Linked DNA regions of Saccharomyces cerevisiae S288C. The protein of the gene in region 1 binds, or shares a complex with, the protein of each later gene. Each region holds a gene or a part of one and is shown in the gene's direction. Other genes may lie near its edges.

Evidence for each region.
Region 2: the proteins of NPR2 (region 1) and IML1 are in contact, whole or in part, in a cryo-EM structure (PDB 8AE6), measured with the Saccharomyces cerevisiae proteins. Residues at the interface, in NP_010852.4 of Saccharomyces cerevisiae: Pro106 (codon at 2,087), Arg110 (codon at 2,099), Met114 (codon at 2,111), Val117 (codon at 2,120), Leu118 (codon at 2,123), Glu120 (codon at 2,129), Gln121 (codon at 2,132), Asn122 (codon at 2,135), Glu220 (codon at 2,429), Gly221 (codon at 2,432), Asn222 (codon at 2,435), Ala223 (codon at 2,438), Asp225 (codon at 2,444), Lys227 (codon at 2,450), Phe229 (codon at 2,456), Pro234 (codon at 2,471), Pro235 (codon at 2,474), Ser247 (codon at 2,510), Ser248 (codon at 2,513), Val249 (codon at 2,516), Asn250 (codon at 2,519), Lys253 (codon at 2,528), Ile254 (codon at 2,531), Ile255 (codon at 2,534), Asp256 (codon at 2,537), Val257 (codon at 2,540), Asn258 (codon at 2,543), Trp259 (codon at 2,546), Asp260 (codon at 2,549), Pro261 (codon at 2,552); in NP_012672.1 of Saccharomyces cerevisiae: Glu288 (codon at 4,612), Asn291 (codon at 4,621), Phe292 (codon at 4,624), Glu293 (codon at 4,627), Glu294 (codon at 4,630), Thr295 (codon at 4,633), Gly296 (codon at 4,636), Glu297 (codon at 4,639), Gln298 (codon at 4,642), Phe300 (codon at 4,648), Gln301 (codon at 4,651), Asn305 (codon at 4,663), Pro309 (codon at 4,675), Phe339 (codon at 4,765), Lys340 (codon at 4,768), Pro344 (codon at 4,780), Trp367 (codon at 4,849), Val368 (codon at 4,852), Met371 (codon at 4,861), Glu372 (codon at 4,864), Arg375 (codon at 4,873), Glu376 (codon at 4,876), Met379 (codon at 4,885), Pro403 (codon at 4,957), Ile405 (codon at 4,963), Lys406 (codon at 4,966), Leu445 (codon at 5,083), Pro476 (codon at 5,176), Leu477 (codon at 5,179), His478 (codon at 5,182).
Region 3: NPR2 (region 1) and SEH1 share a complex: the UniProt entries of both Saccharomyces cerevisiae proteins name them as parts of the SEA complex.
Region 4: NPR2 (region 1) and RTC1 share a complex: the UniProt entries of both Saccharomyces cerevisiae proteins name them as parts of the SEA complex.

The regions. Positions count from the first base shown.
Region 1 is NC_001137.3:32,636-39,246, forward strand, and holds NPR2 (nitrogen permease regulating protein NPR2), read left to right. Parts: upstream 1-1,771; coding exon 1,772-3,619; downstream 3,620-6,611. Other genes in the region: arginine permease CAN1, read right to left, coding at 1-831; kinesin motor protein CIN8, read right to left, coding at 3,900-6,611. UniProt on the Saccharomyces cerevisiae protein: Component of the SEA complex which coats the vacuolar membrane and is involved in intracellular trafficking, autophagy, response to nitrogen starvation, and amino acid biogenesis. Mediates inactivation of the TORC1 complex in response to amino acid starvation.
Region 2 is NC_001142.9:680,817-690,500, forward strand, and holds IML1 (GTPase-activating protein IML1), read left to right. Parts: upstream 1-3,750; coding exon 3,751-8,505; downstream 8,506-9,684. Other genes in the region: MET5 (sulfite reductase (NADPH) subunit beta), read right to left, coding at 1-2,469; HOM6 (homoserine dehydrogenase), read right to left, coding at 8,629-9,684. UniProt on the Saccharomyces cerevisiae protein: Component of the SEA complex which coats the vacuolar membrane and is involved in intracellular trafficking, autophagy, response to nitrogen starvation, and amino acid biogenesis.
Region 3 is NC_001139.9:310,019-315,715, forward strand, and holds SEH1 (Seh1p), read left to right. Parts: upstream 1-3,215; coding exon 3,216-4,265; downstream 4,266-5,697. Other genes in the region: VPS73 (putative sugar transporter), read right to left, coding at 1-155; 60S ribosomal protein uL15 RPL28, read left to right, coding at 949-997, 1,509-1,909; YGK1 (5'-deoxynucleotidase), read left to right, coding at 2,175-2,822; ribosome biogenesis GTPase LSG1, read left to right, coding at 4,613-5,697. UniProt on the Saccharomyces cerevisiae protein: Functions as a component of the nuclear pore complex (NPC).
Region 4 is NC_001147.6:59,692-68,256, reverse strand, and holds RTC1 (Rtc1p), read left to right. Parts: upstream 1-2,906; coding exon 2,907-6,932; downstream 6,933-8,565. Other genes in the region: PFK27 (6-phosphofructo-2-kinase), read left to right, coding at 1-696; BSC6 (Bsc6p), read right to left, coding at 1,143-2,636; CDC33 (translation initiation factor eIF4E), read left to right, coding at 7,233-7,874; ARG8 (acetylornithine transaminase), read right to left, coding at 8,227-8,565. UniProt on the Saccharomyces cerevisiae protein: Component of the SEA complex which coats the vacuolar membrane and is involved in intracellular trafficking, autophagy, response to nitrogen starvation, and amino acid biogenesis. May be involved in a process influencing telomere capping.

The DNA.
Region 1 (6,611 bases):
ATCCTTAGATATTATACCTGGACCCCAGGCACCTGGGTTTCTCCAATAACGGAATCCAACTGGGCCGGTAACCCCAGCACCACAAACCATACAAAAACAGTATATTAGAAACCCGATAATGGCTAAAACTTTGATGGAAGCGACCCAGAACTCGAATTCACCGTAATATTTGACAGGGAACAAGTTCATTATTGTGATAATTACCCAAAAAATACTAATCCATGCCGCCAGTGGAACTTTGTACGTCCAAAATTGAATGACTTGGCCAACTACACTAAGTTCCAGGGCAAAAGTGATTGCCCAAGAAAACCAATACATGTAACCATTGGCCGCACCAAATGCTGGAGAAAGGAATCTTTGTGAGAAAACTGTGAAAGAGGATGTAACAGGGATGAATGTAGCCATTTCACCCAAGGACTGCGTGACAGAATATGCCAAAGAACCCATAAATAAATATGATATAAGAGCGCCCACTGGGCCGGCGTTGGTCAGAGGTGTGGATAAACCAATGAAAAGACCTGTACCAATAGTACCACCAAGGGCAATCATACCAATATGTCTTTGCTTAAGCTCTCTCTTCACTTCAGCGTTCTGTACTTCTCCTTCATCTTCATCACCTATGCCATCCTCCATAGAGAACGTATCCTCGCCATTTACTCTCGTCGGGAAAGAGCGCAATGGATACAATTCTTTACTTTTCTCATCTTTCAATGGTATTGACCCACGTCTGTGGTGTGTTTGTGAAGCTTCAACGTCGTGAAAGAGGGTTGTGACCGGCTCATTGTACATATGCTTCTCCTCTATGTCGGCGTCTTCTTTTGAATTTGTCATTGCTATGCCTTTTTTTTTTTTTGTTTTTACAGGAGTTAAGAAGTCTGAAGAACTCTGAAATAAACTTTCGATTGACGACAGATTAAAAACTGGATCCAACTATAAGTATAATAGTAACTTATATATTTCTGTTCCAGATATATACGTAAAAAAAAGAAAAGGATAATTGATGTTTTTGCAAAAAGGGATTCCCTGATTCGGTTTACTCTGTTCGCAACCACTCTTCTTTCTGCTAATTTGTGCTTTATCTCGTATCATTCTCTTATCTACTTATCTTAACCTTATCGTCTTCCTCGAAATTTTCATTGATAGAGACAACTGCAAAAAAAGAAATTCAAAAAAGCCGTATGACTCACCCGGAAACCACACAGAAACCCTAGATTTCTATAGGGCAAATTTCAGGGTTATACTAAAAGATATATTATTGACCTTGGTTATTCTTCAAGTTCGCCCTATTGAAAATTCGGACACTTTAGGGTTTGGAATCTGTTAAAGATATAAGTAAATATGATGATAAAGAAATAGGTTTAATTTATACGCACTTGCCAGTAAGTGATTGATATTGCAGAAGTAACATGAATACGGTTCTGTGGCCTTTGCTGTTTGCCGTTATTTTATTTCTTTTTTTTGTTTTTTTTCTTTTTTTCAGCACTATCAAGGCTAATAAGGGACAAGAGTTCTTACTCAGTGTGAACGTGTTCTAAATAAGTTCTTGTTCTAATTAATTGTAACTATTTTTATGCATTTCTTGTAAGAGGAACTGGAGTAATCGTATCTCGGAAATACATAGAGGTGCGTATTCATAATGGGCCCTCTATCACTTGTTGCCTGTATCTCCGAATAGGACTGATAAGTGATAAAAAAAAAGAAAACTGGGTTAGCTTGAAGCGACTTTCTTTCTCTACTAAAGGGAATGGTCAGATCATCAGGCCAACGGCAAATGCTAAGCTATTTCCAAGGGTTTGTGCCCATACACACAATATTTTACTCCGTGTTCCATCCTACAGAAGGTTCTAAGATTAAATACGAGTTTCCGCCAAATAATTTGAAAAATCATGGTATTAATTTCAACACATTTAAAAACTACATCATACCGAAGCCTATATTATGCCACAAGTTGATCACTTTTAAGTATGGTACATATAGGATTGTATGTTATCCTGTGACAATCAATTCTCCAATATATGCTAGGAATTTTTTTAGTTTTAATTTTGTATTTGTATTCCCATATGATTGTGAGACGTCTCCCTACGAACCAGCTATTACTAGGCTGGGCAAAATGTTCAAAGTTCTTGAAGAACAAAATCAATTGCTATCCAAATCGGAAAGAGATCCAGTTTTCTTCGATTTGAAGGTGTTGGAAAACTCCACAACAACACCCTCCACTGCAGGTCCTTCATCCACGCCAAATCCTAGTAGTAACACCACACCAACTCATCCTACATCCGAAAAGGATACAAAGGATATGAGAAGCAGCAGATACAGTGACCTTATCAAGGATTTGGGCCTTCCGCAATCCGCATTTTCCATACAAGATTTATTGATGAGAATTTTCCAAGACCTGAATAACTATTCCGAATGCCTCATACCAATTGATGAGGGAAATGCAGTAGACATAAAGATTTTTCCGCTGTTGAGACCACCGACAACTTGTGTCTCATTAGAAGATGTGCCCCTGTCGTCTGTAAATTTGAAGAAGATTATTGATGTCAACTGGGATCCAACCATGATGAGTATAGTCCCTTACATTGATGGCTTAAACAGCATTGCCAAAATTTCTAAACTAAGCAACAGTGATCCTGGCCTAGTGATAGAGTGCATACGTCACTTAATATACTATAAGTGTGTTACATTATCAGATATTTTCCAATTTTCTAACATATACGCTCCTTCTTCATTAATTAGGAATTTTTTGACTGATCCACTAATGGCTAGTGACTGTCAATCTTATGTTACGTTCCCAGAAGTGTCTAAAATATCGAACTTGCCCTTAAACAAAAGTCTGGGTTCAGGTGACCAAGACTCACCATCATTTTCTGTACGAAGAAAATCCAAATCATCTAGCATACCGTCAAACCCGGATTCTAGAACTACATCTTTTAGTTCTACCAGTAGAGTTTCTCAAAACTCCTCCTTAAATTCCTCTTTTTCATCAATTTATAAAGACTGGAGGCAATCACAAACCTCCTGCTCGAGTTCAAATATTCATGTCATCAACAATCGTAACCGATTCCTACCAACAAGATCATGCCTATTTGACCTTTATAGGTCACTTTCACAAGGTCAAACGCTGAAAACATGGTATGAGTCGAAATATATGATTTTAAAAGAAAATAACATTGATATAAGAAGGTTCATAACGTTTGGCCTGGAAAAACGTATCATTTACAGGTGCTACTCTTTTCCTGTAATGATAAATGCAGGTTCACGTGAACCAAAAGAAATGACACCAATAATAACAAAAGATTTAGTGAATAATGATAAGTTACTTGAAAAAAGAAATCACAATCATTTGCTTTCAGCCACAGGGTCTAGAAATACGGCACAATCCGGCAACTTGAAACCAGAAAGACCATCAAAGGTTTCATTTGAAATGCAAAGGGTAAGTTCGTTGGCAACAGGCAAAAGTACTATGCCGAAACTCAGCGACGAAGAAGAAGGTATTCTTGAAGAGTCTATTAGGAATGCCGAAACATTTGATAAAATTTGCGTTTTACTGAGCAAGCCTAAATTAGAAGTCGAAAGCTACCTAAACGAATTAGGAGAATTTAAGGTAATTAATAGCTGAGTTAAAATTAGAGAAATTCATTGTCCATCAAAATGTTTTTTTTTTTTTTTAATATTACAACTTATTTCCGTAAATAAAGATAGTACACACGAATCCAAACGTTTATATAGTTAGCTCTGTGAAAATTTGATTTAGGTTCATCTCTTGGTGTGTTTGGTAGAGGTGGTTTCACACCCTTCTCTTCTGTCTTGCCTTCTAATGAATAACTGAGTATTCTTTACATACTTTGTTTTTATTAACCACTAGTTTGAATATATATTCGACTGAAAGGCAATATCAACTATTCAATCTTTAACATTTTTCTCGAGCCCTCATTGTCCACATTTTCACTGGATTTGTTTTCATCTTCAATTGCATGCTTTTTGGGCGATATTACACTTTGCACTGAATTGCTATTTATGTTTGATAACCTTAACGGCATTTTCTTACTTAGATTTGGTATTTCCTTCAATATGTTCTCGATCATTTCGTCTTTGGTAGCGTTTTCCTTGTTACCATAGTTTTTCATTATGTTTTCAATCGTATTATAGATATCATCCACATTAGTTATATGAGAGTGTGTTGATGTTATCGAATTTTTAATGTTATCTTTCAACATGTTATGCTTGTTAATAAGCTGCTCAAATTGATCATTAAATTTGGTATTGTTCTTCAAAAGGGATATAGCGTTCTCCGATTCTTCCACTTGTCCTTTCATGACTGAAATAGACTCATTCATCGAATTTGATGATGTATCAACAGTACTCTTGATTTGCGATAGCGTCGCTGCCATGCTATTATAGAATTCGTTATTCATGGAGTCACAATCATTTATCAGATCAAATGAATTTTCCCATTTAACGCGCTTGGGTTCAAACAGATCCATTTCTTGATCAATAACCGCGCTGGTTGCAGTTGTCAGATTCTGCATTATTAGTTTTTTATTTTCGTCAAGGTGGTCATTTAGGACCTTTTTAAAGTTCTCAACAAACTCGTTTGTTCTCTTCTCAATATTTTCATAAGTAGAATCCACATGACGATTCAGTAATTCTTGATGGTTATTCTTGAAAAAATGGTTTTTTAAGTACTGTTTCATGTTGTTATTTTCTTCGCTAATATCAGAAAGATTCTCGGCTATATTTTTATAAAATTTTTGGAAATCTACTCTTATTATGTCGATTTTCTCAATAACAACATTGAAGAATTTAGGAGATTCGTTTAAAATTTTCTTCACACAGTCTTTGTACATTAGTTCAGCTTTTTCTTGCATGGTTCTCATAAGAGTCAGTACTTCATTTTTGATCATATCAAGATTTGGTTGGATATTAGTCTCTTGAAGAATACTTTCCTGTTGCATAGTGTTTAATTGTAAAAACAGTGTAGATTTCAATTTTTTAATTTCTTTAGTAATATGCATTTCAAACTTTTGATTAAGGTCAAGTTCTCTTTTTTTGTAATCATGTAGGGCCATTTGCATTACCTCAGTCAACTTCTGTAGTTTGTTATTAAAATCGGATATTTCAATTTCAGTTTTATGCTGTTTATCTAGTTGTGCCCTTAAATGATCTATGGTAGTTTTCAATGATTCTATTTGGCAATTTTGAGATTGAATAGTTTCTTTTGACTTCAATTTATCTTTTACTAGCAATGCATTTTTCGATGTCAAACTTTCAATTTCTCTTTTACATTCTTGAACTTCATTTTTATAACTTTCTAAATCACTGTTCAAATTTTTGTAGTGATCTTGGCTCATATATATTCCTTCTTTGGACTTTGTAGAGAGTAAATCGGATTTAATCTTTGCTAATTCCATAGTTATATTTTTAACCAAAATATCCTTCATTATAAATGAACCCAGTTGCGGCTTGTTCTTAATGTTTTTAGCCTTCGAAGCATACTCTAATGTACTGCAGGTTTCTTCAGAAGTTACCTTTGCAGGCGATATAGTAGCAATTAGTGCGGTTTTCGTATTACCACCCAGGGAATCTTGAAGCAGGCGGGTCAATTTCGATTCACGGAAAGGTATATGGCCGCTTTTATCTACGAGTGCGTTTATGACCCTGCCCAGCGTCAATAGACTTTGGTTGATTGAACCAGCTTCTTTGGCACGTTGATTTAATGCTCCGGATCTGTTGATGTTTTCTGAACCAGCTAAATCCACAAGATTCATTTTGGAAATTCTAAATAGTTCATCCTGATGCTTCTTATACAAAGTGATTGTAAAAATGGTATGAGATCTACTGGAAAAATCGTTCATTTTAGTGGACGCTACTTGCCTATGCTTTAAGCCTTTTTGTAATAGGTTTAGCCCCTCCATAGCATTTGTTATGTGAAATTCTTGCAAATTCTGGATGTATATACCATTAGTTTGGTCATTTGGAGCCATCGAACTTCTTTGACCGTTATTTGTGTTGGTGTTACTAGAAGCATTATTAGTGGTAGAGCCAGAGTTAGAGGAAGAGTTGTTCCTGGAATTCACTGCCTGTTGTTGTTGATACTGTTGCTTGATGGTATTCGGCAGTGATTTTGTCCTTAACCTTTTTCTTAATAGAGCAGCTTTAGGTGTTAGATCATTTAATGACCTCGGAGAACTGTTCCTAGAATTACTCCTGGAACTACTAGCACTGTTGCTAGTGGTATTATTTGCTGTGCTTGAATCAAAAATCCTCAATTTTTTCATAAATTGGCCGTCAAAGCCAGTATTACTAGAGCCGTTGCTATTGCTGTCCAAGAGGTCCTTCAATTCTTCGTTGTAGAGTTCAATGAACGAACATTTTACTACGTAATCGTTCTGTTGTAGTTCCAATGTGTCAAACAACTTCAAAAGAACCCTCGGTATAATTCCTGCTGCATCGCTCAATTCACCATTATATAACTTTTCGTCGCCCGTCATTGTATATGTTTTACCTGTTGACGTCATACCATATACCAGTACGGTGCAATTGTAACCTTTAATGAAATCCTGGAATAATGGGCCCGCCACTTCATCAAAAATTAGATCCTGGGAAGCGCC
Region 2 (9,684 bases), on another chromosome or scaffold:
ATAAGCAGTTTGGAAACCATCAGCATCTTGATCATCACCCAGTCCCAAGGGAATTAGGGCTTTGGCACTCAATAATTCCAAGCGCTTAAATAAATCCTGTGAAGGCTTGTTAAAATAATGTTTATCTTCTTTACGTGGCCAATACTCAGAATCACCGAGACCAAAAACAGCAACATTCAAACTAGCTAAATCCAAGTCGGTGTCATTTTTCAGAGCTTCCCAGAAAGACTTACCGTCTTGGGGGAATTCACCTTGCCCAGCCGTGGAAGTAATGAAAACTACATTCTCTTCACCAGGTAATTCTTCCAAAATAATGTCATCCATGGACAGAACAGTAGCCTTTAAACCTCTTGCAGATGCCCTTGCTGCTAGTCTCTTTGCCAAGTTTGCAGCATTACCACCGTCAGAAGCATAATAGACGTGTAGCGGTGGGCCGGACAAACCCTCCAATAACTGATCGAAGGCAGCCTTGCTTCTTTTTTCTTGTTTCCTTGTCAACGCATCACCAGCAGATTGCTTTAGATTTCTTGACAAAGATGGATCTTTTCTGGTTAATAGGGTAAGCTTATTCTCACGGTCTAAGAAGTCCTGTAATTGTTTTCTGATAACCGAAGAATCCAAGCTAAATGCCTCCTTATCTGTTGATGGATCGTCATAAACAGGATTAAACCTATACAATGGCCAGTAACCAGATTCAACGGCGTTTTTGGTTTCCTTTAAGACTTCTAATGGAGTATCATTTTCGGAATTATACGGCAAATAAGCCAAGACAATAGAAGGACCATTGTATTTAGATGCCTCTATTATTGCAGTCAATAGTTGGGTGTAAGAAGCATATACTGCTACAGAGGCAACATAGGCACTGTAATAATTCATGGCGTACAAACCAACATCTTTCTTTCTATCCTGGTTTTGCTTTCTATGGTCATATGGCTCTGAATCAATCAATAAAACATTAATGTTTTTACGGGAGGATAAAACCTGTTGAATACCTGAGTGACCCAAATCATAAGACCAGGCATCGGAGCCAATTAGCCAGCTTGATTTGAAAATAAAAGAATCGCTTGTTGGAGCTATCTTTAAGAATTTTAAGACAGTAGAGGAATCTTGATTAGATTGTAATAACTGAAATATTTCCAAACCTGTCGCATTGGCCTCTTGTAATTGAGCTTCGTCAAGATCGCGTCCATTGAATGACAACCATTTAGATAATAGTTGAACAATTTTATTTGCATCCTCGGACAAGTAAAGACTTGGATCAAGAGAGGTTTTTGCTAAGCTGATCAATTCTTCACGCTGGGCTTCTTGTTTTAAAAAGCGTCCAAAACCAAATTCTGGATTACTTGGTTCAATTGTCTCACTGGAAAATTGATTCAAAATTTGTAGATTTGATGAAAATAACTGTTTTAGCACTTTGATATAGGCGTCTTCTAAGTTCACAACTTTTTTGACAGAAGAAATAAGTTGAGTAACTTCAGCTTGTTCCTCAGCCTTTTCATTGGATTCACCTAAAAATAAGTTATTATCTGGTTCCTTCTTGTTAATATTCGATATGACGGTGTTGATAACGTTGCCATAATCATTCACATTACCAATATTAGTCAACACTACCTGCTCGATGTTCCTAGAAACTAATTCATTAAAATTGCCAAAGAAGTCCAAAAGAAATGGTTGAAATTCGTTTGATTGCGATTTCTTAGAGACACCCTGTAAAACGGCGATTTTGGTAACAGAAGATGGCAGTATTTCCAAGAACTTGGAAAAATTCCATGGTCTGTATACTCTAATCTTGATCAATCCTACGTTTGAAGGCAATACGCTACTGAATTCCGCGTCATATGGTGACAGGTTAACAATGACAGTGGTAATTGACTCTTTACCTTTAACCAGTTCAAAATTTGTCAATGAATCAGTAGCTTCTGATAATGCTACTTTAGTCTCTTCGTTAGCAATCTCCAAGGTAGGAAAGTCGATGTCTTGTTCAATAGCTGTACTCGTGCCAATTTTCTCCAAGTTAAGAAAATGGAAAACTGGGGTCAGAGAACTTGTAGCAATCTTATAAGAAGAGTCCGCGTTTGAAATTGCAGTTTGCAAATCAGAAGATATTAAGATGGGGAAAGAAAGATCCTTTAACGCAGGAATTGCGGAATAATCTTGCAAATTCAAATCCACTGTAATCACCAATGGAAGTTTATTAGGAAGAGAATATAGATGGTGGATGGATTTGACCAAAGTAGTTTCATCTGTAAAAACGGTAGTTAAAATGTCCTTAGAGAGTTGATCTTTGATGGTATTCAATGGATCTTGATTGTTCAATAGATGAGTAGCATCTGTGGCAACAGATTCTAGCCCTTTGAAGGATGAATGACTATTTTTTGTGCTAGTAGTGTAGAACACTTTATTTTGGGGAGCACTAGAGGAATATTGCGCCAACAATTGTGGGAGCGTCAAGAGGTCAGAAGCAGTCATTCGCCAATCTTTTGTTTTTCTCTGGTTCCCGTTCCCTACTGTTACTTTATTAGTATATAAGGGATCTGAATAAATATCAAGACGATGGAAAAAAAATAACAAGCAAAGGAACCTTTCTATATCCCAATTTTATTTCACATTAAAAACTATCGTCTTCCAACACTTTATATAACTGCTTGCAGCGGCCAGTAATTCGTCGCATCTCCATGACTCAAATTTTCCAGTGTCTCTTAGCAGTTAAACCATTCCTGCCTCTGTGTGGTGGTAATTGTGGCATTATGAGTTAAGAGATAATACGCACGTGATGAAATTCATTCTGTGAAATATCACGTGGACAAATTATATTACCCGGATTCATAAATCCACGTATTTTACCTGCATCTTTATTGAGTGCTTAGTAAAAGTCAGTTGGTGAAATTCCGCAGATAAAACAGCATATTAGTTGCCTGAAAATAGCCTTATGTGTTGGTTTGATACGTCTTTGTCATTATATACCCAAAGGTTTGTAGTTCATGTTGCGGGTTGGTATGAATAAATTTTTCGTATTTAGTGATTATAATACTTATTACCCATTTCGGCGGCTAATAAGGAATCTGCTAAGATAGGTAAATGTACAATACCATCAATGGCTTCTAAAAGTTTTCAAAGAAGTGGGATAAGGGATGAAAGTTGTGCGTGTGTTGGTTACTTAGGTTCTAATTTGGCTTCAATTTGAAGTGAGATGTTTTGTTTAACATTAGTTTCAAATTAACAGCTTTTGTGAGAAAATATATTTTGGATGAATAGCAGAAAATAGAAATCTGGAAATAAACAAAACAGAGCCAAAATTCTAAGCTTAATAACATGAATATTTGTTTATCTAGCATCTTGTTCCTCCCACTCTTTTTCCGAAAATATGGCTAGCCAACTTAGGTGAATGGGGAAGGGTACTAGATTCATTCATTTATTTCTATTCAAGGACAAGAACTTTTAACATAGTAAGACCTTTATGTTAGTTTGGTGCGGCTGACAAATTCATAGCTAATGTGCTAGAGCTCTTATATTGGTAATTACTAATCCTTCATTGCTATTATGACTATCACATTATAAGGTAATGAAAAATTAAATCATTGTGTACGGATTAAGTCCTTTCTCTAAAAGAGATCACGTGACTATTTGAATCACTATCTATGTTAATCATTATTGTTTAAAAGATAGTAAGTGACAGAACAACGAATTGTTTCTGTAACTACTTTTTAAGCAGGGAAATAACTCAGCACTGACAAGGGACACTTTTTAAGGATGTTCGCTAAATTGCATGGGAAGAAACAAAGACCAATTTCTTCCATCAATTCACAAACTCCAAGGACTAGCAATACTACTCACGCAAATAGCATATCCTTATCATCGGGTAATTTGATAGTAGGTTCCAATAGAAATTTAAGACAAAAGAAAGAGCAGTTTGGTTCTCAACAAAGGGCTTCCGGCAGAAAGCTGATTTCAAATAAGGAAAATGACGATAACGTCAACAATGGTGGTGACAACAATTATGACAATGGGGAACGGGTCCATCGCCATCATATTCCAGGACTGAAAATAAAGGCGTATCAAGCTGAATTAGGCTATCATGAGTCCCGATTTTCCGAGAATTTAGTGATGCTAAATCTAGTTGAGTTCCCGGATATAAAACCTGGTGATTTGGTAGAATTGAAAACATATCACAAAAATCCATCTGCATCGAACGGAGATAAGAAAATTTATTTTATTGCAAAAGATTTTGACGGAGAGACTAAAAGAAGGGCAAAAACATCTAATGTTTCAATACTTTCGGGTCAACTGCAAACTTTGTTAGATTTGCCTTCTAGGTCTAGGATATGGATAAAATTGAAACCAAACAAATTTGACTTACAGGCAGATGTGGTAGAGTTTAATATCAAAGATTGCCTACTAAATAGAGGTGATATGTGGGTTCTATCATCTAAGCTGGTAGATACATGTGTGTTTATGGATCAAAGACTGGCATTCTTAGACTCTATCAGAGGTACTATTAAGGGAATTTATCGAAATGGTAAGAAGATTGTTTCTGGATATATTGGCGAACAAACAAGGATAATTTTTCGGTCCGAATCTGCCAGATTAATTTTTTTGATTCAAATAACTGATGAAATGTGGAACTTCGAAGAAACTGGTGAACAATTATTTCAAAAGATGGTTAATTCATTTTTCCCGAAGATCTTCAAAAAATGGAAAGATGTGGACACCCACCATACTATCACTATAGCCTTCGCTATATCAATGGACTTGTCTGATACATCATTCAAGGACTTAACACCCGGCGAATCTTTGAAAAATTCACAGGATTATTTTAGGATAGTTGTAGATCAAGTCAGTATTATCCATTGGGTTGATATTATGGAAACATTAAGAGAAGAATTTATGGAAATCAGAAAAGATTTATTAAACAAGCAAACGGATAAGGGTTACAGTGTAGCGAATGGAAGATTTTCACCTGTAATCAAGTCGAATTTTCTCGAATTGGTCAATTTTGCCACGACAATTTTAACGGATCCTTTCAAGCAATTAGATCTTCGACACACTACAACGCACGTCATGATTATTTCACCAGGGTCTGGATTATTTGACGTTGATTATAGTTTATTAAGGCTAACAGGAAAAAAACTACTCTCTCTTGAAATGACGATGGATTTAATATGTCTTTCAAAAGCTCCATTGCACATAGTTCCACTTTTTAGGTACCGAGACTTTGAGAACAAGCTTCATCATTGTGTACCGCTTTGGTTAAGTGTTTTCTTTTGGAATGATCATGACAAAAAGAGTAACTCAGAATGGACTCCAAGATGTAAAATTTATGACTTACAAATGATGGGGATTACTGAAAATGAGTTAATTCGGGAAGTGGATGTTGAATATTTACAGCTGAACAAGAAAGTCAAATCACTATCCGAGTTTATGAATGATTACGACAAAAATGCCTTCGAGGTGAAAATTTTATGCGCTGGCTCTAATACGAAACAATCTAAGAAATTAAATTCAAAGTTTGATACCGTCTTCGAGAATGATGTTGTTGTGAAGGCAAGGAAAATCCCGGCAACAGCAACAACAACACACGGTAACACAAAATTCATATGGAGAGGTCCAAAAGTTGCTCTCCCAGCCATTAAGGATATTCAAAAACCAAACGTAATACCAGATCTATCAATAAAAACAATAGAGGCCTCTTTTTATGATGATTGTAATACTACAAATGATAAAATTAGCACTCCCACCACTTCTAACAATGACAATCTCGAAATGAATGACTCATTGGTCTCTGTGAGATCTGCTGATAACCAAAACACATCTTTGGCGCTGGATTCGCTCAAAGGACTAAGCAAAAGGAACTCATTGAAAGATTTTACTCAAAGAGTAATTACAAAATTTATTTCGAACATAGACACAAGTAAAAATAAAAAAATAAAGTCAACATTACTCAGAGATGATGTGGATAACTCACCTTTAGGTTCAAATACACCACTACCATCTTCTGAAAGTAAAATAAGTGGCCTGAAATTACAACAAAAAGGCCTGGCAGATGAAAACGTTATCAGTAAACGTGGAAATTTGATAATAAAGAAAAACCTATCCATTTTTGGGCTACCTAGTAATGAAATCATGAGTGGTTCACCCTCCTCATATTTAGGCTCATCACATACCAGAACATCCTCTAAACTTTCTAATATGTCAGACAAGGCTGCTTTCATTACAGAAGGGCAAAAATCAAAACATGATGACTCGAACACTTATAGCCTCACACAGCAATTGAAACATCGTATAAGTGAAACTTGGGTGGATATTAAAAGTCCTTCCATTCCGGTAAGTAGTGAATTTGCCAACGAATTATTGCCTATACGTTGGAAAGATGTATGGCCAAAATATGTGGCCAGAAAATATAGTAAATGGAGGTCTTTTACAACCCCAGCAGAGTTACCAATCACAATTTCTGATTTTCCATCCAAGGATGATTTTGATAGGAACTTCATCTTCAGAAATCACTCAGTGACTTTAAACACAGATCAAGAACAATATAATCAGACATACAAAGACTTACTTCGTGATATGATTTATATGCGACTGTTAACTGGTTTTCAAATCTGCGTGGGCCGACAAGTAGAAAAAATAGAACTTTCTAGGGAAAGTGGTGAAAGTGAAACTGTAGTCAACAAGTATTTAGATTTCAATCAAAATGATGCGTTCAAACTTTATCTAATGATCGACTCTGAAATACACAGAATAACATGCTCGTCAAGTGGAATTATTGATGTGGAGAGGTATTTGAGAAAAGATGAAGCAAACTTGTTTGATCAGGTTCCTAGTTATATTCCGTTGGTTAAAACGAGATACGAGAGCTCATTTCGTGATGCTATGATTGACCCACTTCATGTTAAAAGAGAATCTTTGAACTGGAATCAAATTGATCAGGTTCTAGCAGGTTATGGCGATAACTTAATAGATAGGAAATGGCACGGATTTCGAGCTAAATATGTGGTGTTACCAACAGATATCCCTCCCAACACATATTCTATGGTTATCAATGGTAAAAGCGAAACTTTAAACCCAGAAGAAATCAGAGTCGAGGGTTTGAGAAGATTAATTGGCTCAATAACGAGGTCAAGACTAAGAACAGAGAAAGAAAAAAAAGGAAGAAAAACTAAGAGAGAAGAAATACAGCCTGAAGTTATGTTTTACACCGGCCCGCTTTACAACTTCATTAATGAGCAACAAACATCTTTAGAAAGCTCGGCTATAAATTTTAAAGATTCAATTTTTGTTAATGATAATAACCTTTTAAACAGAAATGTAGAACTATCCAAGTTGGCGTATCAAATTCAACGTGGCGAAGATCGCATTACTTTAGTCAACAGAAAATGGCACTGGAAAAAGCATGAAAAGTGTTTTGTTGGCTCGGAGATGGTTAATTGGCTCATAAGAAACTTCTCTGATATAGATACTCGAGAAGATGCAATTAAATATGGGCAGAAGGTGATGAAAGAGGGATTATTTGTTCACGTTTTAAATAAGCACAATTTTTTGGACGGGCACTACTTTTACCAGTTCTCACCTGAATACGTAATGGACACTAATAAACTAGAAAAAACAAACTCCCATCGCTCTACATTATCCGATCCAAAGCAGATGTTGAGAAAAGCATCCACTGGTAGCTCAAACGATCCAAGCGCTATGACTCCTTTTTCTTCAGTAGTACCTGCTATAAGCGCTTCGAATGCTTCAGTTGCTGACGCCAAAGAGCCATCACGCCCTATTTTAATGCTGAGTAACTCTCTTGTTATCGATGTTGATCCCGCGGGAAAATCCTCGAAACAAGAATCGTGTACAGTCCATTATGACAGAGTTCATAACCCCGACCACTGTTTTCACATAAGATTGGAATGGTTGACTACCACCCCAAAATTGATCGATGATTTGGTTGGGAACTGGTCAAGGTTATGCGAAAGGTACGGTTTGAAAATGATTGAAATTCCTTGGGAAGAACTTTGTACTATCCCTTCGGTCAATCCATTTCACTCTTTTGTGGAAATTAAGTTAGCTATCAATCCTTGGGAAGATCCTGAGTTCAAGGATAGGGAGCTTTTCGCTAAAAGCAAATTCTACTACCACGTTTATCTTTTAAAGGCATCTGGGTTTTTATTAGACAATAGGGCATCCAAATTTTTACAAAATCAAGATATAGAGTTTGACATCATGTATTCATGGGGCAAACCACAGTTCAAATATGTTCAATATATTCATCATACGGGTGCTTACGTCGCGGAATTGAGGGAAAATGGCTGCCTATTTTTAGCTCCTAACAACATTTATATATCCAGAGTGAATCCGGGAAACATAATCGGGAAAATTCATTCTGCTTCAAGCTCTTCATTAGATGCTCAAAAAGTGATCCTAAATTTCAAATCAACTTGCTTGGACTATCAGAAGTTAAGGTCAATTTTCCTTGACGCAAAGGAAATGTGGATTACAGGAAAGATTGTAGAAGATTGAGTAGCCCCATGACATGGATGAGTTTCTTCACAAAGTAAATAATATTCGAACGTGGATAGTAAAGCATAATGTTATCTATTTATATATAAATATACCTATGTTTTTATATGTCTGTTTACTGATCTAAAGTCTTTGAGCAATCTTGATAACATCACCCAAAACACCAGCGGCAGTAACGGCAGCACCGGCACCGGCACCTTGAATGACAACAGGATTGGTGTAACGCTTAGTCTTGATGGAAATAACGTTATCTGATCCCTTCAATGATGCGAATGGGTGTGAGTAATCGTACTTTTCAATTCCTACAGACACAGATTTGGTGGCAACATCGACTTTACCAATGAATCTCAATACCTTATTTTCAGTGGCAGCTTCCTTCTTCAATTGAGTCAAATCTTTATCGTAATCAGATAATTTTTCCAAGAATTCATCAGCAGACTTGACAGATTCCAATGGTTTTGGAATCAAAGACTGGACAGGGAAGGAAGTTGGAGATTCAACTTCCACACCAGATATCCTACCAACAATGGTAACCTTTCTAGCAACATCCAACCCATTCAAATCATCTCTTGGATCTGGTTCAGTATAACCCAATTTTTTAGCAACTTTGACAACATCAGAGAATTTGACGTCGTTAGCTTGACTAGTGGAGAACTCGTTGAAAATATAAGATAGAGTACCAGAGAAGATACCTTCAATTTTTTCAACTTCGTCACCGGTTTGAATAATTTCTCTTAAGAAACTGATGATAGGCAAACCAGCACCGACGGTAGCTTCATGATAGACAAAACCGTTAGTTGGCTTATTTGAGAAAAGAGCCTTCCAGGTAGCCAAATCAGAGGAAAAGGCCTTCTTGTTTGGAGTAGCAATGGAAATACCATTTTCGACAAACTTAGTGTAAAAACCAGCAATGTAAGCGCTGGAAGTGTTATCAACCAAAATGACTGGCTTAGGTGAAGTCTTCAAATGAGCAATTAAATCATCCAAAGGCAACGTTTTAGTAGTGGAGGCTGCTAAAGCAGCCTTCCAATCAGAACCAACATTTAATGGAGAAAAGTCCTTGGAGATTAAAGAACGCTCAGCTTCAGCCAAAAGAACTAGATTGTAAGTAATGGTAGACTTCATGGCTAACAATTGATCCAAGAAAGCTGAACCAACAACACCGGCACCGATAACGGC
Region 3 (5,697 bases), on another chromosome or scaffold:
GGTGCATTTAATTCCGACAAGTGGTAACCAAATTGTATTGAACCGATTGAGGCTACTATAATTGCATAACATAACGCCTTTGTAATTTTATGCTTGTTTTGCCTTGGCATGCTAACATTGGATAGCAACGATGCACTAGATAGAATCCTATTCATACTATGCTACGTACCTGTTTAACTCTTCTCATTTTATCCGTTTTCTTTCTTCACCGTTCCTCTTAAGTTCTTTATTTTTTTCATAACAGAATGATCACCCCTTTCACTTTGCCGCCAATATAATATTAACACACAAGAAATAAGTATGAGGTAGTTTGCTCTCGAAAAAACCAAGTAATAGTTCAAAAAATGAAAAAAAGAAAACAAATACCAAATTATGCCACCGTTACCTTACGTTTCATGGTTAATCATCGTTTACTGCCGCCTATGAGCGTAAGCTAATGTTATAAAGAAACAAGCTATAATATTGTTAAATATAGTTGATCAACAGCATTGTAATGATTACAAGAGACGAGGTGGAATGAACCTTATGAAATGCGTATTATATATAAACTGTAATAAGAGCTAAGTTGAATTGAAATCTACGATACTTGATGTTGACATTATAGCACTAGTTCCCAGGAAACCCTTTCGAAAAACACAGCAAAAACAAGAGTACTGTAACCAATGTAACATCTGTACACCAGGGACCCACACATTACCAAAATCAAAATTATTTTTCTAATGCCTGTTATTTTTCCTATTTTTCCTCTGGCGCGTGAATAGCCCGCAGAGACGCAAACAATTTTCCTCGCAGTTTTTCGCTTGTTTAATGCGTATTTTCCCAGATAGGTTCAAACCTTTCATCTGTATCCCGTATATTTAAGATGGCGTTTGCTTTCTCCGTTGATTTTTTTCCTTCTTAGTGATTTTTTTGCATTAAATCCCAGAACAATCATCCAACTAATCAAGAATGCCTTCCAGATTCACTAAGACTAGAAAGCACAGAGGTCACGTCTCAGGTATGTAGTTCCATTTGGAAGAGGGAATGAAAGAACCAAGACGGTGACTTTTTTTTTAGTGTTGTGCAACCAATATGTCGTGTGTATATCATGGTACAGGAGAATGTCAATCAGCTAAGTGTACTCAACATATTTCTTTGTGTTTTGATTGCGAACTTTGTATTACCATCTCACTGTTGAGACGGCTTATTTGAGGTAATAGCTCGAGTAAATGTACTCTTCCATCGCAAACTGAGCAAAAAGAAAGTGTGCATAGCCTTTGTCATACTTCTCCTTTATTATACCATGATATTCAGAACAGTCATACTGTCTACTCATTTTACGGCTATAAAAGGTAACTTTCATTTAGATTATGGAAAGCACTAATTATCGCTGTATCAAATGGTTGTAGAGAGCGCAATTATGAAAAAGAGTTACCACGTTTCTTTTGTTTCGATAAAATGTCCAGTTGAAAACCTGTTTTACTAACGATTTAAAAATTGTATTTCATTACAATATTTTTTTTGTACAGCCGGTAAAGGTCGTATCGGTAAGCACAGAAAGCACCCCGGTGGTAGAGGTATGGCCGGTGGTCAACATCACCACAGAATTAACATGGATAAATACCATCCAGGTTATTTCGGTAAGGTTGGTATGAGATACTTCCACAAGCAACAAGCTCATTTCTGGAAGCCAGTCTTGAACTTGGACAAATTGTGGACATTGATCCCAGAAGACAAGAGAGACCAATACTTGAAATCTGCTTCTAAGGAAACTGCTCCAGTTATTGACACTTTGGCAGCCGGTTACGGTAAGATCTTGGGTAAGGGTAGAATTCCAAATGTTCCAGTTATCGTCAAAGCTAGATTCGTCTCCAAGTTGGCTGAAGAAAAAATCAGAGCTGCTGGTGGTGTTGTTGAATTGATCGCTTAAGCGCATCAACAAAAACTCTATGTATTTTCCAATAAATTATATATCTTCAGTTTAATCTAATTCAACATCTACTTCTGTATTATTTCTATCACCCATTTTCACCGTTTTTTCGTCTTGTCTATTTTGAAGTTACCAGTGGCAGATCCCAACGCTTTTATCGCTTTTTTAAAAGATTTTCAAAATCCATATATAAACATAGGGTCCAAAAAGAAAACAAATAACAAAACAAGAAAACCTATTCGAGGTAAAGACCAGGAAAAACAAAATGACTGCAGTTAACATCTGGAAGCCAGAAGATAATATACCTAGGGAGATTTTGGCAATTCTTTCGAAACCTCACCCAAATTATCAGTTAGCGTTTTTGAATATTATACAACTTTTGAAAACGCAAAGAAGAACTGGTTGGGTTGACCATGGTATTGACCCATGCGAAAGTATATCTGACCATATGTACAGAATGGGTTTAACTACCATGCTGATTACGGACAAGAATGTTGATCGTAACAAATGTATCAGAATCGCACTTGTTCACGATTTTGCGGAGTCATTAGTTGGTGATATTACACCTAATGACCCAATGACAAAGGAAGAGAAACATCGCAGAGAATTTGAAACTGTCAAGTATCTCTGTGAAAGCATAATAAGGCCCTGCAGTGAAAGCGCATCTAGGGAAATTCTTGATGACTGGTTAGCATACGAAAAGCAGACCTGTTTGGAAGGAAGATATGTCAAAGATATTGATAAGTATGAAATGTTGGTTCAATGTTTTGAGTACGAACAAAAGTATAATGGCAAGAAGGATTTGAAACAATTTTTGGGAGCCATCAATGATATAAAAACTGATGAAGTTAAAAAATGGACACAATCTTTACTGGAAGATCGACAAGCCTTTTTCGACAGTTTGAAGGAGTAATAATGTGGCCTTTTGAAAGAAAAGTTAGTGCTTTTTTTTCTTTTCTCAAACCTTCACCTGGTGGTGCGTATCATTTATAATAACATCTTGATGCTTTTCAACGAGATAGTGCCCATTTTATTTTGCATGTATTATACTTCCAGCACCCGGTGTGCATTATATGTAACTTTAGAAATAATCTTTTGTATATTATTCGCGATTGAATGTGCGTGCTGCATTATCAACCAAGTTTTAATATATCTGTTTCTCTTATTTATTGTTAGTTAAGTCTTCGGCAAAACGATGGAAAAAATCATGAACTGAATAGAGACAAGTAAACCAAATTATAAACAAGGTTTCCCTTCTGAAGAGATACTAAGGAAGAAGAAGAACGACCCAATAATATTTCTGAATATGCAACCATTTGATAGTGGGCATGATGATTTAGTTCATGATGTCGTTTATGACTTTTACGGAAGACATGTGGCAACATGCTCTTCTGATCAACATATTAAAGTTTTTAAATTAGACAAGGACACGAGTAATTGGGAACTCAGTGACTCATGGAGAGCTCACGACAGTAGTATCGTGGCCATTGATTGGGCCAGTCCAGAATATGGGCGCATCATTGCTTCAGCCTCTTACGATAAGACGGTAAAATTATGGGAAGAAGATCCCGACCAAGAAGAATGCTCTGGCCGTCGTTGGAACAAGCTGTGTACCCTGAATGATTCCAAAGGATCACTTTATAGTGTAAAATTTGCGCCAGCGCATTTGGGCTTAAAATTAGCTTGTTTGGGTAACGATGGAATCCTCAGACTTTATGATGCCTTAGAACCTTCTGACCTAAGGTCATGGACACTGACTTCTGAGATGAAAGTGCTATCTATACCACCAGCAAATCATTTACAGTCTGATTTTTGTCTCTCTTGGTGTCCTTCGAGATTTTCTCCTGAAAAGCTCGCAGTCTCTGCATTGGAACAAGCGATTATATACCAAAGGGGTAAAGACGGTAAACTTCACGTTGCAGCAAAACTTCCCGGTCATAAAAGTTTAATAAGAAGTATCAGCTGGGCTCCTTCCATTGGTAGATGGTATCAACTCATTGCAACAGGTTGCAAAGATGGTAGAATTAGAATTTTCAAAATCACAGAAAAACTAAGTCCCCTGGCCTCAGAGGAGTCTTTAACTAACTCAAATATGTTTGATAATAGTGCTGATGTTGACATGGATGCACAGGGCAGATCAGACTCAAATACCGAAGAGAAAGCTGAGCTACAATCAAACTTGCAAGTTGAACTTCTAAGCGAGCATGATGACCATAATGGCGAAGTTTGGTCCGTGTCTTGGAATTTAACGGGTACAATCTTAAGCAGTGCTGGGGATGATGGGAAGGTACGTTTATGGAAAGCCACTTATTCAAATGAATTTAAGTGTATGTCAGTAATTACTGCCCAACAATAAATAAGAATATATGTATACATAACATTATATATTGGTACTTTATACGTGTGCATTATTCTGTATAATACGAGGCAACAGATGAATCAAGAAAGATGATGCTTTTAAAAAGCTCTTACAAATATAATGATATTACATCAAATGATATTATTATTCTTGATATTGGGTATTCTTTCGAATTATATCAAGCTTCCCTTCCCTCGCCTTTTCGCCTGGAAATTTTTCAATGCCGAGATTAAAAAATTTGTCAATGAAAATGCATTCTACTACTTAATAAAGAGGTGATGAGCTTATAAGCCAACTTCTTTTAAACACAAAACTAAATCTGATATTGAGGACCCCCACCAACTATGCCACCAAAAGAAGCTCCCAAGAAATGGAAGGCGCCAAAAGGGCCAAAACCTACCCACCGTAAAAATAAAAATAAGCTTGAATTAGGCAGAGCTATTAAATATGCACGTCAAAAAGAAAATGCCATCGAGTATTTACCTGATGGTGAAATGAGGTTCACTACCGATAAGCATGAGGCCAACTGGGTTAAATTAAGATCTGTAACTCAAGAATCAGCTTTAGATGAATTCTTGAGTACAGCTGCACTGGCAGACAAAGATTTCACGGCCGATAGACATTCAAATGTTAAAATTATTAGAATGGATAGCGGTAATGATTCTGCGACATCTCAAGGGTTTTCTATGACTAATGAGCAGCGTGGAAATCTTAATGCGAAGCAAAGAGCGCTTGCTAAGGATTTGATTGTTCCAAGGAGGCCTGAATGGAACGAGGGCATGTCCAAGTTTCAGCTTGATAGGCAAGAAAAGGAAGCGTTTTTAGAATGGAGAAGAAAATTGGCACATTTACAAGAAAGCAATGAAGACTTGTTGTTAACACCGTTTGAAAGAAATATCGAAGTTTGGAAACAGTTATGGAGAGTTGTTGAAAGATCAGATTTAGTTGTTCAAATTGTAGATGCGAGGAATCCGTTGCTGTTTAGATCTGTCGATTTAGAAAGATATGTAAAAGAGTCAGATGACAGAAAAGCAAACTTACTGCTAGTTAATAAAGCAGATTTATTGACCAAAAAGCAACGTATCGCTTGGGCAAAGTACTTTATCTCCAAGAATATTTCGTTCACGTTTTACTCTGCATTGAGAGCTAATCAATTATTGGAGAAACAAAAGGAAATGGGGGAAGATTATAGAGAACAAGATTTCGAGGAAGCTGATAAAGAAGGGTTCGATGCTGATGAAAAAGTTATGGAAAAAGTTAAAATTCTGTCCATTGACCAACTGGAAGAATTGTTTTTATCAAAAGCTCCAAACGAGCCTTTATTGCCACCTCTGCCCGGTCAACCTCCACTGATTAATATTGGTTTGGTTGGTTATCCAAATGTAGGTAAATCCTCCACTATTAATTCGCTCGTGGGTGCCAAGAAAGT
Region 4 (8,565 bases), on another chromosome or scaffold:
AATAACGATAAAAAGGAAACGTATGCCAGGATCACTTTGCAAAAGTTGTTTCACGAAATCAACAACGATGAATGTGACGTGGGAATCTTCGACGCCACAAATTCGACCATCGAAAGAAGAAGATTTATATTTGAGGAGGTTTGTTCGTTCAATACAGATGAGCTTTCTAGTTTCAATTTGGTGCCCATAATCTTACAGGTGTCATGTTTTAACAGAAGCTTTATCAAATACAATATCCACAATAAATCGTTTAATGAAGACTACTTAGACAAACCTTATGAACTTGCCATCAAAGATTTTGCAAAGAGATTAAAACATTACTATTCGCAGTTTACACCTTTCTCCCTTGATGAGTTCAATCAAATCCATCGATATATCAGCCAACATGAAGAAATCGATACGAGCTTATTTTTCTTCAATGTTATTAATGCGGGCGTCGTTGAGCCACATTCTTTAAATCAAAGTCATTACCCTTCAACCTGCGGCAAGCAAATTAGGGACACCATTATGGTTATTGAAAATTTCATCAATCACTATTCTCAGATGTTTGGTTTTGAATACATCGAAGCTGTTAAATTGTTTTTTGAAAGTTTTGGAAATAGCTCAGAGGAAACTTTAACTACACTAGACTCTGTTGTTAATGATAAATTTTTTGATGATTTGCAGAGCCTAATTGAAAGCAACGGATTTGCTTGACTGATACTTTACCATACGGGAGTTGAATATCGGTACTCCTTTATTATATTTATGATCCTCTCCAGAACTCCATCTACCTCCCGCCTTTTAATGACCATTTTTACGACCTTTTCGCATGTTTTTCTATTCTTTTACAGTTTCCTTGGTACCGCTAGTTACATTATGTTATCTTGAAAAGGCTACTATACACTTTTTTTGCACTACTGAAGCAGCTTTCAAAAGCTCTTTATAGACTTCAGATAGTATTACTTTTTCCTTAAAATTCTATCTATTTGTAAACGACCAAGAGTGTCATTATGTATACTATATATCAAAAAGTTCCATATGTTGTCTGAAGTTCCTTTTATCTTCCGCCTTTCTATCTTTCTGTTACAATTATTCAACAGCTTTATTTTTCTAATTTTGGAATTAGTTGCAATGCACTGGCACCGATGGCGTTTCTGAAACTAAAAATATTCTTCATGCCCTTTTATGAATTTAGGATACAATGTCCATTCCAATGTAAATAACGCAACCATAATCCAACACAATAGTGGGATATACTGGATTCCCACTGTGTGTGCAATAACTCCAGCCAAATATGGAATGGCTGCACCACCACAACCACCAACGGCGACGGCAACCCCAACCCCGCTCACATGTAGTCTTTTGGGCAATACTTGTAATGCAACTATACTTGCGTTTGGGAATAATGGTCCGATAAACGTACCACAACAAAAAACAACAAAAAATAACACGACGAAATAGAAAACTGAGCTTGAATTGATCAACCCAACAAGCACAAATAAGGTGTATGAAGATAGAGTTAAAAAAGCGTACGCTTTGCTTGCTTTATACTCGTTTTCGAAGAATCTTTCAGTAACAAATCCTAGACACAACCTGCCTACAGTCAAACCTGTCCAAAACGATGCCGCTATGTATGACATAGCAACCTTATTACTTGATTTAGTTTCCAATAAATAACTAAAGAACCATGAACCAGTTGTAATTTCAGCACCTAAGTAAAGGAACAAATACAATGAGTACAAGAAAATAGCAGGATTTCTTAAAAGTTCAAAAAATCCTGGGCTCGCCTTGGTAGATTCCATCAGCGAGTTATCACCCGCTTCTTCCACATCATTGTTGCTTTCTTTGTTTTCCACAGAGCAGAGGTAGTCGTATTTACTTGCAGTTTCAAATTTAAAAGCTGGGAAGATTACAATCATGCCTATTATAGAAAAGAACAGAGGAATAAGGAAAAAAAGAGACCAATGACCCCATTCAACAAAATATGAAACTAAGGGAGGAGTAACCATAGCTGCTGCCCCGTAAAGACCATGCATGATACCCATGAGTTCATTCTTATGGACTAAAAGACTGCCCATTAAAACATTACCGGTAGAATCTAAGATGCCGATCCCTAAACCAAGAGGAAGGCCACAAAACATACAAACATAGAAACTAGAAGGTGCAGTTGCTAAAATGATAAGAAATACTATACACAAACCAGCTGCTAGAAGCATACCACCTCTCATACCAAAGTGCTTATTCAATCTCTCTTTTGATAAAGACGCCATCACATAACCACATAATTGGACTATAAATACGTTTGAGACATCTACCCGCGATATATGATAGTATTCAATTAGCGTAGGAAGTAGTGCACCTACTGTTTGATCGTTCATACCAAAGACTACGAACATAATCAAGCATGCTATCACCTGCAGCTTTACTAGTGGTACAGTTTGATAGTTTAGTGGATATGTTTTAACTTTCTCGCCCTGCCAGTCAATTTCTTTGATTAAGTTTGTATTGTTAGGTAGACTATCTTCATCTTGAGAATTTCTTCTGGAGTCTGATGATGATAGCAGATTTTTCAACTCTATTGGGTTATGATGTGAAATTTCAGTTGTATACATTCCATAATCATCTACCTTTGGTGGAACCGAGGAAGCATCCATGCTGAAAACTTATATATGGATTAAATTATACTATGAATCCCTAGGATCTTATTCTTGGTTTCTTACTATAGCATTTTAGAATACTGTTGAATGTCTAGCTATGCATGATCGGAGAGTTTAAATTTTTCTGTCTCGGAACGTTCTTTTTAATTTGTCAAAAACATCGATATATAACGATGATTACTGAAAAAGGAAAACCGATTGATAATACATATGGTGCGATTGCTGGCTGAAGGCGAGTGAGCTATTGAGTGGATTTAGTTGAAAATCATGAGCTTATCACCACACGTAGAAAATGCTTCCATTCCCAAGGGGAGTACCCCGATACCAAAAAACAGAAACGTTAGTTCTATAGGCAAGGGCGAGTTTCTTGGATCTTCGTCAAGCAACAATTCTTCTTTTCGAATGAATCATTACTCAAATAGTGGACAACCTTCCGTGTTAGATTCTATACGGCGACCTAATCTAACTCCAACTTTTTCTTACAGTAATGGGGTTTATATGCCTGAAAGTCACAGAACTAGTTCATTCAACGATAGTTATTTGCCATATGATAAGAATCCTTACGCAAAAACAACCGGAAGCATGAGCAATAAATCGAACATGAAAATCAAAACAAAGAAAAATGCAATCAACACAAATACAAGAAAGTCGTCTGGACTCATTTACACCACCAAAGTGGATAAAGAATTATCTAGTATAGACAAAGTGAATGATCCAAACATTAACGGTCTTGTTTGTGCAGGTAAAACTCATTTGGGGCTCTATAAATTCTCGCCCTCAGATAGATCTATCAAATGCGTTCATGATTTCATAACACCTAATAGCAACACCTCAACAAGGGGAACGACATCCCTTTTGCCCAAGCTGAGCAAAAGAACAAGACAGAACAAATTTAGTACCATTGCGGATGTTAAGACTGGATTTAATAATTACAAGAACTGTATTGCAGTGTGCAACAATTCTACGGCGATATCGATATATGATCTCAATAAGAGTTCCTCGATAGACAATCCCTTGATAACATCCTTATGCGAACACACTAGATCTATCAATAGTTTTGACTTCAACATGGTCGAATCAAACCTAATAATAAGTGGTGGACAAGATAGTTGTGTAAAAATATGGGATTTACGTTCCAATAAATCTAAAAGCTCAAATAGATCTGACATTAGTATAAATACCGCATCTGACTCAATCAGAGATGTAAAATGGATGCCCGGTTACAATTTTGCATCTAAGAACGATCAAGGTTCATCAACGTATGGTAATTTAAAAAGCGGTTACAAATTTGCTTCTATTCACGATTCGGGATACTTGCTAAAGTTTGATCTTCGACAACCTGCCCAATACGAAAAAAAATTAAATGCTCACACAGGACCCGGTCTTTGTTTAAATTGGCATCCCAATCAAGAATACATTGCTACAGGTGGTAGAGACGGTAAATGCTGCCTCTGGTTTGTTGGCGACAATGCCAATGCCGCCGAAAATACAGTCCTCAATTACGGGAACTCTCCCTCGTTACATGCCCCCAATACGTCCTTGAACAATAGCGGCTCGCTGGCATTTCCCAAACTAACAATTAATACGGGCTATCCAGTCACTAAATTGAAGTTCAAGCCTGCTTATAGTAGTAATATATATAATTCATTACTAGGAATATCGTCAATGGGTGACGAAGCTGAAGTTCGCATCTATTCCTTGGCAAGAAAGTACATTCCAAAACATGTTCTCCTATCAGAAACGCCTTCTTTAGGATTAGTATGGTGGGACGAAAACTTGATCTTTAATATCGATAAGGGGACCCGTATAAATGGCTGGGACATTAACAAAGAACCAACAGTGCTCGAAAATTTGAGCAAAAATACAACAACTTGGAGAGATTTGGATGGTAACGGTTTACTTTCAGTTGACCAAGAGATAGGCTCATATGAGGTGGTAGAACCGGAGCTTCAACCTACCTCAAGTACCACATGCAAGAAGCATCCAGGTACAATAAAAAACCCGAAGAATGGCAATCCAGAGAACCAGGGAATAATTGGAGGGATAAAAAAAGGATTTAGCCATACTGGATTAACAAGTTTTACGCCAGAGAGGCCGCCTACTTTAAAAGCAGGCCCAACGTTTAGCACAAAAAGCTTAACATTAGCATCTGGAGCATCTTCTTTTAACAGCTCTTCCGCATCATTGACATCCCTGACGCCACAAACTGAAAATAGAGAAGAAATCGCCATTGAACCGCCTTGTATCATCACTTTGGATATACCGCAGATCTTCAATAACATAAGATTAACCAAAATCGCACATTCAAGAAAAAAGAACGTCATTTCCGAAAGTTCTTCTATGAAAAATTCTCCAGTAGAAAAGTTCAAATATTTGGCGAGACAGCTCAAGTTTTCGTATATTCGAGAGCATAATGTTTCAGACAGTGCAGACACTGCATATAAAAATGATATAGAGAACATTGACGTCGTTAAAAACGCAACCGAAACACATGGTGATAATACTACTACTACCAATAATAATGATGATGGTGATGATGATGATGATGATGATGATGATGACAAAATAATCGAAAGTCACCTTTTGAAAAAATACAATTTTCCAGAAAATAATACATGGGCTACCTTAATGAATGAAAAAGTAAATAACAAAAAATCCAAAAGAAATTCCAGTAGTTCGAGGGAGTTTGACGAGAAGGATGTCAGATCAAGTATATCTTCCATTTCTGCAAGTAGGCAAAGTCATGACAGAGCTAGGAAGATCGACAAGAACGTGGAAGCAGAACTGCAAGAAAAAATACAAACACTGGTAGATTTGATATCTATTGCAACGCATAACGCATCTGTTTATCTATCCATAGATGATCTAACCAACTTCAAAATCTGGATCTTGATAAGAGATTCATTGTTATGGGACTTGAAGTGGATGACCTCCTCCCAAATTTCATCAGATAACGCATCTAATATGGATGCCAATGAAAGCTCCGATTTCGAAGCTGGAGAAAATCTGAAAACAGGAAAAGAGTTCCCAGAGGAGGATGGTGCAGGGACAAGTGGGGCTGAGTCGTTAGTTGAAGAAAGGCCGCAGGCATTTCGTGCTAACTCTGATGAACCAAGTGATGCCGAAAAGAAACCTGTTTCTAAGCTCAAAGAGCAGCTCAAAAACACGGAAATAATCCCCTATGCGCAGCCAAATGAGGATTCAGATGAAGTTTTAACTAAGCTAAAAGAGCTACAGAACCAACGCTTGGAGTCAAGGACTAAAATGGGAGAAACAGTGAGTGACGATGTGATTATAGAGGAAGACGAACATGAACATCAAGAAGAAGAACAGCCTCATGACTCACCGACTAAGTCAGCACAATTTCACGCGTCTCCTATCGCGAAAAGTATACCAATATTGCAGAAACGTGAGCACCGCAAGTCATTCATAGATACTTTCATGTTGCATTCTCCCAACGGTTACAATGGAGATACGGACATAGGTAACGAAGATGACAATATATCTCCTAGGTTTACTTACAACAGCGTAAGCCCACGCAGTAAGGTTTCGTCGCTACAAAGCTATGCCACAACAACCTCGCAACTAGAAACTTTTAAAAAGCTTTCTTCCCATACAGCACCAATAATCGGATCGCCCAGACATGCGCCATCACGGCCAGATAGCATTGGTAGGGAACAACTGTCTTCTTCATTGACGAAAAAGCTTGCCAAATGCAAGAAAATTATCGCTGACCCACCCTGGGACACGAAAAAACTCATCAAACAACTCTACAATCAAGCTACTGAGACTGGGAACGTCGTATTGACGGTGAATATTTTATTTCTTTTCCAAACGATATACCAAATAACAGAAATCGACATTGCAAAGGACGCAATCGCTCACTTCTTGTTATTATTACATCGATACGAACTCTTCGGCATTGCTGCAGACGTCTTAAAATACTGCCCATTCGAAGATATCATGGGTTCTGAGGGTGACCAATCTTCCATTCGGTTGTTTTGCGAACGCTGTGGTGAGTTAATCACTAACGAAAGTTCTAAAGAAAAGCTCAGAGCGGAAGCTCAGCAGACGGGCAATAAGAAGATCATGGACAAGTTTGGATACTGGTATTGTGACTCTTGTAAGAAGAAGAATACATCTTGTGTTCTATGTGAAAGACCATTAAAGAAACTGACCATGGTCATCCTCCCCTGTGGACACGAAGGTCACTTCCAGTGCATACAAGAATGGTTTCTCGATGAGAATGAACAAGAATGTCCCGGCGGTTGCCCCGGTGTTGCATTCATCTAGGTTCTCCACATAATGTATAGTTTAACATATCATCACCATTGTTTAGTTAAATCGTTTAGAGTAATATTACCCGTCAAAAAGGTCGGGTAAAATTTTATTACCCTCTCCGAAAAGAAAATTTTTTTCGTCGTCAATAGAGTTTAATGCAATACCTGATAAAGAGAGTTTTACATTGCAAGAGGTAGTGTTAATTCTGGATTTATATTGTACATATGTGTTTGTGTTAGTGCTTGAGTACTTCCTAGGAGTTTTACGAAAAATAAAAGCATTTTTGTCTGAAAACTAGTGAAAGGAAGAAAAATGTCCGTTGAAGAAGTTAGCAAGAAGTTTGAAGAAAACGTTTCAGTCGATGATACCACAGCTACTCCAAAGACTGTTTTAAGTGACAGTGCTCACTTCGATGTCAAGCACCCATTGAACACCAAATGGACTTTATGGTACACAAAGCCAGCCGTCGATAAATCTGAGTCGTGGTCTGATCTATTACGTCCCGTCACTTCATTCCAAACTGTTGAAGAATTTTGGGCTATCATTCAAAATATTCCTGAGCCACACGAACTACCATTGAAATCAGATTACCACGTCTTCCGTAATGACGTTAGACCTGAATGGGAAGATGAAGCCAATGCTAAAGGTGGTAAATGGTCTTTCCAACTTAGAGGAAAAGGTGCTGATATTGATGAATTATGGCTAAGAACTTTACTAGCAGTTATTGGTGAAACAATTGATGAAGACGACTCCCAAATTAACGGTGTCGTTTTAAGCATTAGAAAAGGTGGTAACAAGTTTGCCTTATGGACTAAATCTGAAGACAAAGAACCACTATTGAGAATTGGTGGTAAATTCAAGCAAGTTTTAAAATTAACCGATGACGGGCATTTGGAATTCTTTCCACATTCCAGTGCCAATGGTAGACACCCTCAACCATCAATCACCTTGTAAGATAGTCTGAATTTTTCTTAAGATAATTGTTATTTTAATCAAAATTATATATATAATCATAATATAATATATATACATTCTACTAGTTAGGATGCACGTATAAACTCATCATGTTAACACAGAAGGAAAAGTCAAAATGAAGGAGAAAAAAAAAAAAAAAAAAAAAAAAGAGAGGATGACGTTAAAAGGACAACTCTTATTAATTATATCATTCAAGGTATGAAAGACGCACCACATGTACATATCACGTAAGATGTTCCTATGTGTCTCTGACCGAATGGCATTTTTTATACTACAATATAAAGATGAAAAAAAAAAAAACAATCTATACATGACAATTTACAAAGTATATTTAAGCGTAAACCGCTTCAATAGCCTTTTCAAAAGCATCCATCCCTTCTTCGATTAGTTCGTCTTCAATCGTTAATGCGGGAACAAATCTAACGGTACTCTTACCAGCGGTAATGATCAAAAGTCCCAATTCTCTGGCCTTTTTGATGACCTCGGTGGGTGGTTCGACGAACTCAGCACCAAGCATCAAACCTTTTCCTCTGATAGTCTTTATTTGATTTGGATATTTGGCTTGAATTTCGCGCAAGCGCTTTTGTAAGATATCACTCTTCTTAGAGACTTGTTTCAAAAAAGCTTCGTCTGCTATGGTATCCAAAACATAGTTGCTTACAGAACAGGC